2 linked regions of the Nothobranchius furzeri genome follow. The protein of the gene in region 1 interacts with the protein of each later gene in a pairwise test. Links are inferred from orthologs where the notes say so. Each region holds a gene or a part of one and is shown in the gene's direction. Other genes may lie near its edges.

Region 1 (4,294 bases):
TGAAGAAGATAACTTCAGTGGTTTCAGTGCGCAGGAGGACGATGAATAAACTAATCAATAACTTTTCTGTTTTGTTTGATACTGATCAGTTCAGTTACGTTCAGTTAAACTACGTTTTCAATTCAGTAGATTCTGCGGCTTTTAGCCCGGTGCGGCTTATATTGAAGTGCGCTCTATAGTCCGGAAATTACGGTATTTATATATGCATCAACTGAAATCTGTCAGTTCAGTTCTTAGTCATTCAAAAGTGTTATCATCTTTAAGCCACAGTTTTGTCATGAGATAATAACATTTGATTTTTTTTCTGCTTTGAAATTAAAATTTAAAGTGAATAAAAATAATTAGCGATTGTGTTTTCATGCAGCTGTATTGTAATGATTATAACTAAATGTAGCTTATAGGGTGCCAAGCAAAAAAAAAAAAGCTAAATCTTTTTTAAAAAGTGTTTATTTTAAAGCTTTTGGATTATGCAAGGAAGATGACTTAAAGAACAGATAACAAAGCATGCAAAAATGTATTTTTAAACTCAAATATTAGACATTTTTAAGGCTGCAACATTACAAAAAGTTCATTACCTCTTTCTCTGGGGCTACATTGTTTCTTTTCCCATTCTGGTTCTTTTTGTTGTTCTTCCGTTTTTTTCCTGGTAGGTTTTTCTTAGGAGCTTGAGGTTCATCTTCACCCTTCAGGGCAGTCTGGCACACATAATGGGCATCATTCTAACAAAACAAACAGAAGACTGTGCATGCAGGCACACCTAAAAGCACCCAGTTTACCTTGAATGATGCAACTGCCTTGTCGTAGGCTTTTATCAGTGCGGTATCATCCCAAATATCCGAATCATCACTCTGAAAAAGAAGGAAATGCATTTAGAGGGTCTGCCTTACTTTGGTGCATGCTTATCCAAATATTTAGGTGGTACCTCTGTTCCTGTCACAGACCAGTGCTGTTTACAAGCTCTACTTCTAAAGCACTTCACTCAAAATACGAAGTTCTGATGCAGCTTGAGTGAATTTTGTGTGATTTATATCCTCCACCTCGACTAATAAAACCCAACAACAGCTATTGCTGTTTTGTGACCCTGTTTATCTTTGTTGTCCAACTAGCTAAACTTACCGGTGGTTTGTAGCTTAGCTTCCTAGCTTCTCGTTTTAAATAGATCTACAGGAAATAAAAAAATAGTTCGTATACTTTATCCAGTTCGACTAATAAATGTTTTAAACACACCTGCCCAGTTCCACGGGTAAATAACACGTCTCTACATCCATTCGCCATGTAGGAACACTGAAATGTGTGCCAATCGTTGTCAATTTCTGGACCCAACAATGTGCGTCGGAAGCGAGTGACTTGAAGTGACGTATATATCATGCGACAACGCTGTTGGCCTGGCAACATCTACAGCTTCACACGCCACAATAAAACAGCAGCTAAACCCAGCTTTTGATGAGTTTTTATCATTAAACCTGCTGATACGCACGTTTAGGCGTTTCCACCGCGGGACCAGATCGTTATGAGCGATTCATCTTTCAACTCTTTGGGTGTAAAAGTCGTTTTCGCTTCTTCCTGCGATGAGAATCACCCACCAGAAAACATTATGGACGGGTACTTGCTGCGCTTTGCAACACTGTTTGTCGTCTATATTCTAAATAGCATCGTATCTGATTAATTTTATTAACGTATTTTTTGTCCACATCTAGGAATACAAAAACATTTTGGACGTCCACTGGGATGTTTCCTCAAGAGTTCGTCATTCGTTTTCCTGAGCCCACGAGGGTTGCTGCGGTGACAGTGGAGAGCTACAATGGTACGAAGACCGTAGTGACAATAAATAGTACACACTGTCCAGGCTCTGTGATGAGCATAGCAACACCCTGAAGCAATGCTACTAGTTGCAAATATTTTGTTCGAAACTACCTTTTAGATTTTCCACCCACTTGTCTCACAAAACTAATTAGAGACATACTTTATACATCTCTAACACAATATAGGCTACATAAGTGTATTTGCACAGACCTGTAATCAGATGTTTATTATTCCCAGCAGCTGTGCTGATATTTAAAGGGGACACATTATGCAAAATTTCCTTTTGCATCCTTTTGTGCTGCCATGTGTGTCTCTACTGCCTCTAATCACTCCAAACTTCTTCCACAAGGACACACAAGTTCAGATGTTCAGATCGGGCCAGACAGGGAGTCAAACACAAAACAGTGTTCAGAATTTTTCTAAATAAAGATTACTTGCAGATACTCAGTAGCCTAACTAGTAGAAAAGTTTGTCACTATCTGTGAAGCCTCAGTGGAAGAAGTAAATTGATCAGAAAAGAAACCACAGACATTTTGGTTAAACACTGCCGTCTTTTCCTTTGCGTTTTGTCGCGTGTACTGCTGAAATCATGCGTGACCCTGCAGTTCTTTGGTGATTTTTTTTTTTACCTTGCGGGAACAGCTGCTTGGAATGCTTTTGCTACTGTTTCACATCGGAAATGCACCTGGTGGGAAGGGAGCTTGCGGGTAAAACACGCCTATTACATTAAAACACACCTATTACAGTACACACTAGCTTACGCATCCAGTGGAAAGATGGGGTATGAAGCCACAACATGCTTTTGTTTTATTCTGAAATCAGGTAAAAATAAATAAAATAAAAGGCAAGAGGCTAATGTTGGGCCAACAATGAATAAAAAAAATAGTCAACTCTAAAAATATCTCAAGCCACGTTTTTGAATACCAACAACTTGATATTACAGTGAAATGTATTTATTTACTTATCAGTTAACTGTGTATGGCTAGTCTTTACTTGTCATCAAGAATCTTCTGGGGCTGATCCGTCACTGGCGACAGCTAAACAGAGCAGACTCTGTTTATACAGACTGCAGTACCCAAATTTGACCACAGGATGTCATTCCCAAATTGTGACCCTTTAAGAAAAACAGTCATTTCTTTTTTAAGTAAACATAACTTAAATTAACCCTTTGATGCATAATGGTCACTACAGTGGACAGGTACTCAAAATAGTTATTTGTTTGTTTTTGCTATTAAGCACAGCTGTTGAAGACTTTATTGCATGTGAGCACCTCCATTTGTACTTCAGTAAGCCAGGCCAACATATTTCATGCTCAGAATGCACACTGTCCACTGAGGTGGACATGTAATAAATAATTTGTAAATTATAAAATTTTACGAAAAATATTAGTTGAAATTTGTTTCATTCGCACCTAAAGACGAATGAAAAAAATTGTAAAAAAAATCATGGTTGAAGATTTCATAATTCATGCATCAAAGGGTTAATCAATAAGAGACAACTTAACTTTAATGAGTAAAGTTAACCAAAAAAATGATTGATTTATTATTTTATGTTTCTATATTCCATTCATCTTTACATCAACCCTAAAGTGCGTCTGATAAACAGACTTGTATATTGTTTTATTTTAAATATTTGTGGATTTACAAGAAAAACAACCACAAACTAGCAATTTTGTTGGATTTCAGGAACAATAAACAACTGGTGGGGGAGGTGCATTGTGGGTAGTTATGTTTTCAGTTATTTAGCTCTATTTTGGGGTGTTTATGCATGTCTGTTTTGGAGGATTGTTGTTCTCAGTTATTATTTCATTCAGTGTTGCAGATGTGGTGTTACTTTTTGTATCATGTTGGCACCATAAGTGAGGAGGTTGGTCAAAGTAATGCTGTATGGCTGTGCTGTCCCATTGTTAATAATACTGTGGTTATTCACACCAGATGCTCTTGACTTGACTTTGAGTGTTCCACTTTCATTGGCTGTTAGCATTTATGGGTGTGTGAGTAATGATCTGGTGCTAGTTACTGCCTTCACCAGCCTGCCACATTGTCATTTCTAAGTAAATTCAACTCATTTGGGTTAGGGTTTATTAGGTCCATTTAGAGTTCATATAAGTTATAATATTTAAGTTAGTAAAAACATGTAATAAAGTTCAAATAAAATAAAATATGCAAGTTTAGTTAAATTAAACTTTATAAGTTGCTTAAGTACCAAGTTATAAGCTGGAGGTAGTTAAATGCTTTGATTTTATTCAGGTCATATTTTTTAAGTTATGGTAAACTTATAGTTTTTAGATAAGTTAACTTAAAAATTATTAGGTAATCAGTTTCCTCATAAATTTTGAGTTCAGTGAACTTATTCGGGGTTACAGTGTGTCCCCATTAAGAAAATCTTATTCACTGCCTCTCGTTTATCTTTAAAGCATATTTTTGTCCACCTGACTTAGTTTAGAGGTTTAGAACGGTATAATCATATTATTATAAACTGACACTCATGA
Region 2 (4,528 bases), on another chromosome or scaffold:
TTTTGAGGTTGAATGCTTCACACGAGAGACTCCCAGCCCCCTAAAATGTAACAGGAATGATAACTTTGAGGGATGTTGGTGGCCATGAGCTGATGTAAAAAGTTTACCTGCTGTTGCTGCCACCCCAAAAGTAGAATGATTAAAAGCTTATACAGCCTAATTAAATATTTTCGGTCTAATTCCTTATCTGTTCATTTAAACGTTAAGGTTGTTTACGATCAAACGGGCCTCACGTGGTGACTGCATCAACATCAGCTCAGCTCACAGAAACAAATAAGAATATCTATCTATAACGTGTGATACACAGTAATAGCAGTTTCTGGATCAACAAAAACATGAAGTGATTTCCAGACTTTGACACAGGCCTGTTTAATCCACAGAAAGCGATTCGACAACTCTAGCTGGTTTATTTATCTGTGTTGTTGCTTTGAGTGGTTTCTTACCCAAGACACTATGCGGAGAATGGTCTGAGGCTGCTGGAGGAAGGTGACAGGGTCGAAGGCTCCTCCAGCTTTCCCCGCTCCGTATGCCTGCATCCCCTCCATTGTCCTCCTCCTCTCTGGGCGGCCGCCTCTGAGATCCCCTTCTCCTTCCCCGCTTCAGCTTCAAAGGCACAGTGTGTGTGCGCGTGTGTGTGAGGGTATGTAGAGCACCGGATAACCGAAAGACGCACAAATCTCTGGTCCTACCACTCTGACCGCTGTCTCAGTGACTCTGCACCCAGGCTCCCTGACGCGCCACCTCTCCCCTTTTTTCTTGCTTGTAGTAAATTTAACCTCTGTGTCCCTCTGCACGGAGGTGCGCGGTGGTGTTTTGATGACGTTTCTCCCCTTCTGTAAGCTCCTAGAGCCCGTGGCAACCACGAGAACGCGCTTCCGCTCGGACAGTGCGTGTTTTATCTTTGGGAGCGCATCCTCGATAAAAACATCCAATACGCATGGCGCACGCGCCTGTGCTCACGGTGTCGCACAGAGGTAGTCACGTGCCTTAAATTGATTTAATCAAAGCGCGTCCCTGTTAGGAAGAAAAAAAATCAGAAAATTAAATTTTTTAAAACAATTACGACCCAGTTAAATAAAGAAGAAAATCTGAGTTTTTGCATTGAAAACGCTTCCAAATACTTTATTCTGAAACGTATGTTTTGTACCCTCTAGCGGTTATATCTCATAACGCTTGAAATTTTATTTATATTACGTTTTTACATACATGCAGTTTTTCAGTATTTACAAGTATGTGTCATGATTAGTGTTAAGAAAAACATTTAAAATGTCCTATTTACTTATCTCCGTCGGATCGAATGAGCCATGCCTGACAGATCTTGCTCGGGGGCGAAGTTCTCCAACATATCAAACAGCCAATGAAAGCGTTACGTATACACTGCGTACACCAATAAGACGCTACTTTAGATGGTTGCTAGGAAACGATTTGTGTCCGAGTTGCTGCGTTGAACAGTATTTAGAAGATTAGCAGTAAAAGTCAATATTATCCAGATTATTGAATTAAGTGCATATTTTACTCATCGCGTCACGAAGGCTTGCGCTGCAATGGGGAAATTGAGGGCAAGGTGTCTGCTTGTCGGTAAGGTTTCCTATGTTTGGCTAACGTTTGCTAGGCTAACGCTAACCAGTCGAGATTTAAGCTATCGGTTAGCTTCAAATGTAAAATAACAAAACACTCTCTAGTCTTTGATACTTAGCTAACCTCCATTTATATACGAGCCTTTTAGGGAATAATTTACCAGATTCAGTATTTCTCATTAGCGTTCAACAATGCAACACCAGACACATCACAACAAATCTTGTTTATCTTCAAGATGAAGCATAAATATATTGATAATATAAACTACAGCGCTTAAATAAATATAATGAGCAAGTTTTCATTTATTTAAACGAGTTCTTCCTTGATGTTTTTTTTTAAATGAGGAAACTGCAGATGCAAAAAGATCATAAACTTCTGTTTTCTACTGTTTTTATTCCTGTTCATGCAGGAGATGCAGCCGTGGGGAAAAGTTCTCTGTCCCATATATTCTACAGCGGTGGATCTCTCTTTCAGAAGAACTATAACATGGTGAGATGATCTGTTTTTAAAATATTGATGCTCAAACACTGCTGTCTAATCTAAAGCAGCTATTTAGTAAAAATAGTAACATGATGTTTATTTACTTGAAAGTATTTCTGCAGTTTTTGTGATGAATTTAGAAATTGCATTTTTCTTTTCCCCTATCACTTGTTTTATTCATGTCGATTCAATTAAGTCACTAGTTTAAAATATCAGAAATAATGTGATTTGTGTGTTATGAAACACAGCAGCATTCATTCCTTGTTATTAAATCATTGCTTAAGATAAAAGCTAGCACAATTTTCAAAGAATCGGAAACCCTCACATTTTCAGAGAAACCTTACAAGCTTTTTACAACTTGTTTGGATCTTTTGTACTAGGACTTACTGAAGTGCAAAACAGCATGATGTACCAACTAACACTGATGTGGAAAAGTAATCTGCATTATTTATGCCTATCTTCATGTGAGAATGAGTCGTGTCATTAACCTAACTCTGTCATGAATGGATGTCACTGCTGTTCATCGTTTCTTTCAGCCAATGTTCAAAGGGATTTAGGTTAAATGCGCACACATACACTGCAAATGCAGGTACTGGTGACTTGAATTATAGTTACGTATTTTGCATGCTTCACTTTACCACTAAGCCCTGTGAGTCATTAAAGTACTGAACAGAAAAATACCGGATTATAGCCATGTGTGTGTGTGTGTGTGTGTGTGTGTGTGTGTGTGTGTGTGTGTGTGTGTGTGTGTGTGTGTGTGTGTGTGTGTGTGTTTGCTCTGGTCTTGCTGCCTCAGCAGTATCAGGGTTCCGAGGTGACAGGGGTGTCGATAATTAATACAGCAGGATTCTGGAAAGTCACTAGAACAGCTACTTAACAAGCAAACACACAGAGCCCCAAACAACACAGTTTCTCAATACTGTACCTGTTTGTTTGTGATGTTGTGAAAAAGTTAATACAAAAGGAAAAGTATAACCAAATAAATAAATACAATTTGTGCAGGAAAAGCACATTTCCTGCATGTTTTAGATCATGAACACAGCTGAGCTTATTAATTTAGTGATGAACCTCTTTTGTAGACACTAAGGAAGGCTGGGGAGATGTTTCAGCTTTCAGATTAAGGTGTTTGTTTTTGGATGGACCCACAGTGAGGAGATAGGTTTTGCTTTCGGTTCTACAAACGGACACTAGAGAGTGCTAAAAGCACGCTTAAACGGCCTAATCTCCCGTTAGGTTTCACTGAGAAAAGTATGTAAGTTGTTTTTCATCAAATACGGTTGGTCACACTGAGTTGAATAAATGCATGCTGAACGTAAAAATAGTCTCCAGTCCCTATTTTCTACATTAGTCACTGAAAAAAAACAGACGTCAGTGCTTGGGTCAGAACAAGCCACACAGATCTAAGTCACACTGCAAAATTAGCATTTAAGGACTTATCAACCTTGGCTTGTGACCGCAGTCGGCTGTGTTGATAAAGCAGCCATAAGACCGCAGAGTGTGTACCGGCTAATAGAAACTATCCATTAGCAATAGCAATTCTGTTTGTATTGATGCACTTTTTTTCGCACACAATGACGAATATTGTCGAAGAAATCATATTTATGTCAAATTGAACTGCTAAAACATTGATTTACTTTCTTTCTTTAGTCTTCCTCATCCAACCCCATAAATCCCTGTGTGTCCTCCTCCTACAGCGCTCCCGAAGGACAACAGACATCAATAGCAACACAAAAAAAGTCTGGCGTGTTGTGTAAAAACTGTTATTTTTAGGATGCTTATAGGTACGACGTGTTGCTACCAGACGTACGGTGTGAGCACTCGAGTCACATCCGAGAACTGGGTCGTACAGTGTGAGCACATGACTCGTGAGATTTGCTCTTCGAGGAAGTCGTACAGTTTGAGCTGAAGCTGAACGCTACGAGTGAAACAGTCGCACAGTGTCCGCCCGGCTTTAGCCAGTCAGAGTCAAGTTGGCTGAATGTAATAAATATTAATGAGTAAGATTCCAACCCAAATCAGTCTGCTCAGCTGGGACATTGTTAAATTGACTAAACCATTTTGCAGTGGCTGGTGTTGTTTCATGTTATCAAGCCAATCTGCTGAGCTGCTGATTCACAGCTACAATTAGCACAGGAACCATAGGCTAGTTTGACTAATTAGTAGTACCCAGTACATCAACTGCAAACAGATATTTTCATGAAAAAAAATCTTAACAAAAAAAAAGTATTTTCTGCTATTGAAAATGTGTAAACGATGACCGTACCCAGCTAGTATCAAGCAGCTACCAAAGAGGCACACAGCCTGCCGGTATAATTAAGATAGAACTGGAATTGGCTCTGTTATGTTAATTTGTGTGTTCAATAAAAACTTTTTCCTAAAGATTCAAACTTTGGATGCAATGATACCACGTTTTTTCCAAACCGATACGATAACGATACTTGGATCTGAGTAATCGCCGATACCTATACCT

Evidence for each region.
Region 2: the proteins of hspb11 (region 1) and ift27 interact in binary tests that used the Homo sapiens proteins (3 or more experiments, as listed by UniProt). The two-hybrid records come from large-scale screens. The link is inferred for Nothobranchius furzeri from reciprocal best matches to the Homo sapiens genes IFT25 and IFT27.

Annotation. Positions count from the first base shown.
Region 1 is NC_091757.1:41,300,583-41,304,876, reverse strand, and holds the start of hspb11 (intraflagellar transport protein 25 homolog), read left to right. Parts: upstream 1-1,381; 5' UTR 1,382-1,510; coding exon 1,511-1,602; intron 1,603-1,697; coding exon 1,698-1,804; intron 1,805-4,294. Other genes in the region: smn1 (survival motor neuron protein 1), read right to left, coding at 576-695, 777-848, 1,228-1,368. UniProt on the Homo sapiens protein: Component of the IFT complex B required for sonic hedgehog/SHH signaling.
Region 2 is NC_091746.1:76,148,120-76,152,647, reverse strand, and holds the start of ift27 (intraflagellar transport protein 27 homolog), read left to right. Parts: upstream 1-1,414; 5' UTR 1,415-1,544; coding exon 1,545-1,578; intron 1,579-1,987; coding exon 1,988-2,067; intron 2,068-4,528. Other genes in the region: synaptogyrin-1, read right to left, coding at 444-545. UniProt on the Homo sapiens protein: Small GTPase-like component of the intraflagellar transport (IFT) complex B that promotes the exit of the BBSome complex from cilia via its interaction with ARL6. Not involved in entry of the BBSome complex into cilium. Prevents aggregation of GTP-free ARL6.